Linked DNA regions of Callithrix jacchus. The protein of the gene in region 1 purifies or fractionates together with the protein of each later gene. This does not show direct contact. Links are inferred from orthologs where the notes say so. Each region holds a gene or a part of one and is shown in the gene's direction. Other genes may lie near its edges.

Region 1 (3,755 bases):
TTAGATTGGGCCCAAATGGACAATCCAGGACAAACTCTAGGATCTCAAGGTTCTTAACCTTAATCATACTTGCAAAGCCCTGTTTCCTCATGTATGATCCATATTTGCAGGCTCCAGGAATTAGGGAAAGGATATTTTTGTGAGACAGACTTTTGCTTTTTTACCCAGGCTGAAGTGAAATGACATGATCTGAGCTCACTGCAACCTCTGTCCCCTGGGTTTAAGCAATTCTCCTGCCTCAGCCTCTCAAGTAGCCGGATTGCAGATGTGCCACCACGACTGCCTAATTTTTGTATTTTTAGTAAGAGATAGGGTTTTACCATGTTGACCAGGCTGGCCCTGAACTCTTGAAATCAGGTGATCCACCAATCTAAGCCTCCCAAAGTGCTAGAATTACAGTTGTGAGCCATTGCGCCAGGCGGTAAAGGACATTTTTATGGGGCCATTATTCACTACTTGCCACACCCGATAGGAAGTTCAAGAGATCCACTCTAAGCAACTGTGCTAAGATACTTCTCACTTACCCACTTCCATTTGTATTCTGTGTATTATATTATTACTCCTCACTGTATCCACTTCCATTTGTATTCTGTTTATTACATTATTACTTCTCACTGTATCCACTTCCATTTGTATTCTGTTTATTACATTATTACTTCTCACTGTATCCACTTCCATTTGTATTCTGTTTATTACATTATTACTCCTCACTGTATCCACTTCCATTTGTATTCTGTTTATTACATTATTACTCCTCACTGTATCCACTTCCATTTGTATTCTGTGTATTACATTATGACTCCTCACTGTATCCACTTCCATTTGTATTCTGTGTATTACATTATGACTCCTCACTGTATCCACTTCCATTTGTATTCTGTGTATTATATTATTACTCCTCACTGTATCCACTTCCATTTGTATTCTGTTTATTACATTATTACTTCTCACTGTATCCACTTCCATTTGTATTCTGTTTATTACATTATTACTTCTCACTGTATCCACTTCCATTTGTATTCTGTTTTTTACATTATTACTCCTCACTGTATCCACTTCCATTTGTATTCTGTTTATTACATTATTACTTCTCACTGTATCCACTTCCATTTGTATTCTGTGTATTATATTATTACTCCTCACTGTATCCACTTCCATTTGTATTCTGTGTATTATATTATTACTCCTCACTGTATCCACTTCCATTTGTATTCTGTGTATTATATTATTACTCCTCACTGTATCCACTTCCATTTGTATTCTGTGTATTACATTATTACTCCTCACTGTATCCACTTCCATTTGTATTCTGTGTATTACATTATTACTCCTCACTGTATCCACTTCCATTTGTATTCTGTGTATTACATTATTACTCCTCACTGTATCCACTTCCATTTGTATTCTGTGTATTACATTATTACTCCTCACTGTATCCACTTCCATTTGTATTCTGTTTATTACATTATTACTTCTCACTGTATCCACTTCCATTTGTATTCTGTGTATTATATTATTACTCCTCACTGTATCCACTTCCATTTGTATTCTGTGTATTATATTATTACTCCTCACTGTATCCACTTCCATTTGTATTCTGTGTATTATATTATTACTTCTCACTGTATCCACTTCCATTTGTATTCTGTGTATTACATTATTACTCCTCACTGTATCCACTTCCATTTATATTCTGTTTATTACATTATTACTTCTCACTGTATCCACTTCCATTTGTATTCTGTGTATTATATTATTTCTCTTTTCAGTGTAGGAGTTATGTGTGTCTGTGTTTGGAGTGACATTAGTCCTAAATGCCAGTCTCTTTTTCCCAGATATGTCATGTCGTTCAAGACTTGCAACACTAAACGAGAAGTTGACAGCCCTTGAACGGAGAATAGAGTACATTGAAGCACGGGTGAGTATGATGGGCAAGGCCATTCCAAGAGAGAATGCATATTTCCACTTACTGCTGACAAAAACCTGAAAGCAGAAACAGTCTTAGGAAACTTAAGCACCGGCCAGACATGGTGGCTCATGCCTGTAATTGCAACACTTCCACTTTGGTAGGCTGAGGTGGGTGAATCACCTGAGGTCAGGAGTTTGAGACCAGCCTGGCCAACATAGTGAAACCCGTCTCTGCTATAAATACAAAAATTAGCCAGCATAGTGGTATGCACCTATAATCCTAGCTACTTGGGAGGCTGAGGCGGGAGAATCACTTGAAGCCGGGAGGTGGAGGTTGCAGTGAGCCAAGATCACACCAGGGCACTCCAGCCTGGGTGGCATAGTGAGACTCGGTCTCAAAAAAAGAAAAAGTTAAACACATTGCCTGGATTTGAACAGGTTTCTGTGACTCACAGCTGTGTTCTTTTCTATTTCTCACTGCTTAGGATCTAAAGTATGATTTTTTTTTTTAAAGATCCCTCTAATATATTTTAATTTATCTAAATGTCAGTTTTCCTTTCCTTTCACAGGTGACAAAAGGTGAGACACTCACCTAGAACAGTGCCGTCCTGCTGCTGGGGAGTTGCTTTACAGAACACAGGCCACATGGGAAAGGCCCCAGCAGCCTTCAGCTCCTTCCTTTCTCCTTAAAGAACAACAGGGCTTATTCTTGTTTTTCTTTTTTCAAAAGTGTGACCTTTGGTCTCTGCCATCTGGGATGTGGTGTGGTATGTGGGGAGAAGTCCAGAGGAACTGTTGGAAACAACATTAGGCATTTTACCTTTTCAGTAACATTTTATAGATCTACTTGTCAATGTATTTGAAATATTCACAGCCAAAAGCCTGGGACTCTTTGTGAAGGTCCTCCCTACCTCTGTCCTTTCTCTCTCTCTCTCTCTCTCTCTCTCTCTCAAACTTTCCTTAAAATTCTCATTGCCTTTGCACTGCTTCTGTGAACAGTCTTTGTCTCCTCCCCACCTTTGGTGGGAAGTGGGGGGCAGTCCTGGCCAAAACACACATGCCCTGGCAATGTGGCTGCCAGAGAATGTTGTTGCTAACCCACCAGTTTCTTGTTGATTTGGGGAGGTCAAGACCAGGCCCCCACTTGGCTTGAAGGGACATTTTCAAACTTTTCTTTCTGTCACTTGGGGTGTCCGTGCCTCTTATATTTCCCTAATAAACTCCTCAATTTTATCTGACTGCTGTGATTATGGTGGGGAGAGGAGCTAGAGATGGGCTTGCTTATTCCACAGAAATGTATATATGGCATTATTATTCTAACATAAAACTTTCAGATATAGCTGTTTGATTCAAAGCCTGGGTGGCTTACCAGCCCAAGTCCCCATGTTTGGACTTTAAGCTGACTAGTGCATCCTGGGAATCAATTCATCATTCAGCACATTTACCAAGTACTTACTATGTAGGCATGTTAAACTCCAATAAAAGATACAGCATTGAATCAGACATGATGCTTACAGTCTGTTGAAATACCAGCATTTACACAATTTAGCCACAATCCAAGGCAGATTATTAGTTTTATAAGGTACACGCTAAATGTCTACTTCTTTGAAAAACAAATGGTTTAAACCAAAGCTTACTTGTACCAACCTACTTGTTAAGGCTTATCCACTATATAGAATCTCTGTTTTAGTCATACAGAAGTCATTATGCTCTGTATACATTAATTTCTCTCAATTCAAATCATGTTTGCCATTCAAAGTCTAGCTCAAGGCAAACTTCCCCCTGAAAGTTCTCCTGGACTTGATTTTTCCATTTAGTATTGCCCTGTTCCTCTTCTTAGTTCCTCC
Region 2 (3,755 bases), on another chromosome or scaffold:
ATTTCTATAGAGTTGTGAAAAATTCTTGTGATTTAATTGATGACTTTTGGTTGCCTTTGAAATATATTTCCTTCTATTGGCTTTAATTGGGTTAATGGACTTTAAGTAGCTGTAACTCTTTCGACCAGCAGCATTCTTTCCTGCCCAAGTTTTGGATATGTGGCAAAAGTAAATTTGTTTTCTTTTTTTTTTTCTTTTTTTGAGACAGAGTCTCACTCCATCACCAGGCGGCAGGCTGGAGTGCAGTGGCACCATCTCGGCTCACTGCAACCTCTGCCTCCCAGGTTCAAGCAATTCTCCTGCCTCAGCCTCCCGAGTAGCTGGGACTATAGGCATGCACCCCCATGCCCAGCTAATTTTTGTACTTTAGTGGAGACAGGGTTTCACTATGTTGGCTAGGTGGTCTTGATCTCTTGACCTTGTGAGCCACGGCACCAGGCCGATAATTTACATATTGTTAAGAAAGTCTTAAATATTCTACTTAAGATTCCCATGTACCTTCAAATAGGTGTTATTACTTACGAGGATGATAAACTTGAGTGGTCTTGAATCGAGATTTTACCTATAATTTGCTTATTTGGTAAAGCAAATTTAACTATGAAAATGGGACCATATTTATATAAGTTGACAAATTAGGAATGATATATTGGTTAATATACTTGATAGAAGAGCAGGATTAAAAAGTATCTTCCCAAGTTGGAATAATAATCCTAAACTAGGGGTGAGCACACTTTTTTGGGTACAAAGCCAGATAGTAAATATTTTAAATTTTGCTGGCTATACAGTCTCTGTCACAACTACTCAGTCCTGCTGTGGTAGTGTAAAAGCAGACATAGACAATAAATGAGTAAGTAGATGTGGCCCTCTTGCAATCAAACTTTATTTTCACAAAATGCAGTGGTTTGGATTTGTCCATAGGCCATTTTGTACATTTTAGATTGCTTTCTCTCTCTACAAGTTTGCAAAGGAAATGAATATAGGCTGTGCATCCCTATCTGAAAGCCCCAAATTTAAAATGCTCCAAAATCTGAAACTATTGAATGCCAACATGATGCCGCAAGTGGAAAATTGCACACCTGACCTCATGTGATGGGTCATGGTCAAAATGCAGGCGAATGACACAGTTGATTTAGTGTTCCCAGGGGAAGAATAAAATTACCTTCAGGCTATGTGTATGTGAAACAAAAATGAGTTTTGTGTTTAGACTTGGTTCCCACCTCCAAGATATCTCATTATATGTATGTAAAATTCTAAATCTGAAAAAATTCCCAAATCCAAAGGAGTTTTGATCCCAGGCATTCCAGATAAGGGTTACTCAACCTGTATCTTGAACTGAAAAGAATCACAGATACCACAGAATTGCAAAGTTCTCTAAGTATTAATTAAAATCCTTTAAGAGTAAGTAAATATTCCTTTTCAAGAAATCTGGGAGTAGTCCCACAAATTAGCATGGGTCCCTGAATAAGGAGGATGTGATTTACCTTCCAGTAACTGTGTATTTTCAAATTGGATAGCTTGGGTTGTTACATGCTACTGAATGGCTATGCAGCTTTCTTTGCCTTATAATTATCTTGAAAAGCTGTTCTTTGCATATGATAGGCACTTGGTAGATATTTGAATGAATTAAAACATCTAATAAATTTTAAAATTCAGAGAGCTTTCTTAAAGAGATTGACAGAACCTATTGGCCTCTTCAGTCTAATCAGATTGTCATTTGGTCCTAAGATTAAGCCAGTGATTTAAATACATGTTTGGCCACTGACATACTTATATTGATAAATATAAGAATTAAGAATCTTCATAAAAATAGTTGGTTTGCTGTGCTGTATATTTAATTGGCATTGTCTTAAAATTCAAGTAAATGTTGGATATAGTGCATTCATGTGATATTTCAACTTTTTTTTTCCCCCATAGTTGTTGCAATATATGATTATACAAAAGACAAGGATGATGAGCTGTCATTTATGGAGGGTGCAATCATTTATGTTATAAAGAAGAATGATGATGGCTGGTATGAAGGAGTCTGCAATCGAGTGACTGGTTTGTTCCCTGGGAACTATGTTGAATCAATCATGCACTATACTGATTAATTTTTTTTTTTTTTTTTTTTTTTTGCTTTTAAAGTAGATTCTTATTACTCAGTCATACTGTGGGACTATTATGGTTAACAGACCTGTCTTAATATGTTTTAAAATGTGCCCATATTTTCAGGACATGCTGTTTTATTGGTAAATTGAATGTCTACCTGTAAGCATAAATCTTTGAGGCAGTTTGTATATTGCTAAATAGCAGTTTATACAAGAAGCTGTCCATAACTGATTATGCTTATGTACTTACACATTTTTAACTTGATGACCAGCCTAAATATTCTGGGGAAATGGGGTATAATATTTAACGAATCATGATTCAGATTGTACCATTACATGTTTCAGTGCAGCATGGTTACTAACGCTATGTCAGACTAATATTAAAATCAGAAGATTTAAATGCTGGTGCTGGTCATACTTTTTTGGTTAGAATCTCTCATTTAAAAAAATACTGTTTGTTTAAAGCATGCATAAAAATTTATGTCTTGAAATATACTTAAAAATTCCAAGATGCTTCCAATTTGTGTAATACTTACCTGGAGGACTCGTACTTAGGTGTCTTAAAAATGAATTGAGTCTTCAAGGTCTCCATGTGAAACAAAGAAGCAAAAAGAGAATTATCTGTAATGTTGTAATTTGTACCTAAGTTTTTTAATGAGTGAAATTTGCATTATAAATTTTTTCCATTCATAAATAAGTGAACCAAAGGTTTTTGTCCTTTCCTTCATTGGTTTGCTTTAAAAAAAATAATAAAAGATGATGATTTATTGAAGAATTATGGTTCTATTTTCTCAATATATTAACTTGGAAAAAAATTTTAGCCTTATCTCAATCTGTCCCAACAGCAATGTGACGGAGTTTGCAGATTCAGAATCTGCAGTGGTATTTATGAGTCAGTCTACTGAGTTCCTTTTTTAAAGAATCTTTTGAAGCTAAGAAAATGTGTCAAATTGTGTGCATTCTGTAGGTAAAATTCTTAAGGATTGCCATGTCTTTCAGTTTTACAGTGCGCTGTTGTACGCTGGATCAATGAAAGGAAATTAAAGGTACCTTTTACATATTGTAAAAGTGGATGCAGTTGATTTGTGAATAGGCACTATTGAATCCATTACCTGGCACTAGCAACATTAGAATTTTAAAATGGGGAAAGAAGGTGGGTCATGTATTAATCAGTGAACAGAGATTTACCTGACCAACAGACTTGTACTCTTTTGACGTGATCGAAATGCAACACATGCACTTTGTGTGTCTCCTCTTAAGGGAGGGTTGAGGGATGTTTTCTCTTCCTATCTTGTGTATAATTCTATATTGTCTAGGATATTAAAGTAGAACACTCAAGTGTGGGTTTGTGTTATTGAGGATTTTTTTGGAACTCAAATTCTGTTATATACTGGACATTACAGACTTAACAGCATAGTGAATGGTAAGAATAGTGCAAAACATTTATTTCGGAAAATTAAAGACCATTACTGTTATCAAATCAATGTGACTATTTCATGTGCATTTTGCCTTCGTTAATTTTAAACAGTGTCATTAGTGATCAGGTAGCTACCTTCTACTTTTCATTTTTCAAGTGGATTGTTCTCTTAATTTGTATATAACCTATTGTCTAAATTTTATGTACAGTCTTTTATAATAAACCATTCTCCTATATGAAATTTTGGATAC

Evidence for each region.
Region 2: the proteins of BRK1 (region 1) and ABI1 purify together in Homo sapiens (co-immunoprecipitation; 3 studies listed by BioGRID and IntAct, with this or other methods). This does not show direct contact. The link is inferred for Callithrix jacchus from reciprocal best matches to the Homo sapiens genes BRK1 and ABI1.

Annotation. Positions count from the first base shown.
Region 1 is NC_133516.1:67,298,017-67,301,771, forward strand, and holds the end of BRK1 (protein BRICK1), read left to right. Parts: intron 1-1,835; coding exon 1,836-1,918; intron 1,919-2,477; coding exon 2,478-2,504; 3' UTR 2,505-3,409; downstream 3,410-3,755. UniProt on the Homo sapiens protein: Involved in regulation of actin and microtubule organization. Part of a WAVE complex that activates the Arp2/3 complex. As component of the WAVE1 complex, required for BDNF-NTRK2 endocytic trafficking and signaling from early endosomes.
Region 2 is NC_133508.1:27,126,962-27,130,716, reverse strand, and holds the end of ABI1 (abl interactor 1), read left to right. Parts: intron 1-1,914; coding exon 1,915-2,090; 3' UTR 2,091-3,745; downstream 3,746-3,755. UniProt on the Homo sapiens protein: May act in negative regulation of cell growth and transformation by interacting with nonreceptor tyrosine kinases ABL1 and/or ABL2. May play a role in regulation of EGF-induced Erk pathway activation. Involved in cytoskeletal reorganization and EGFR signaling.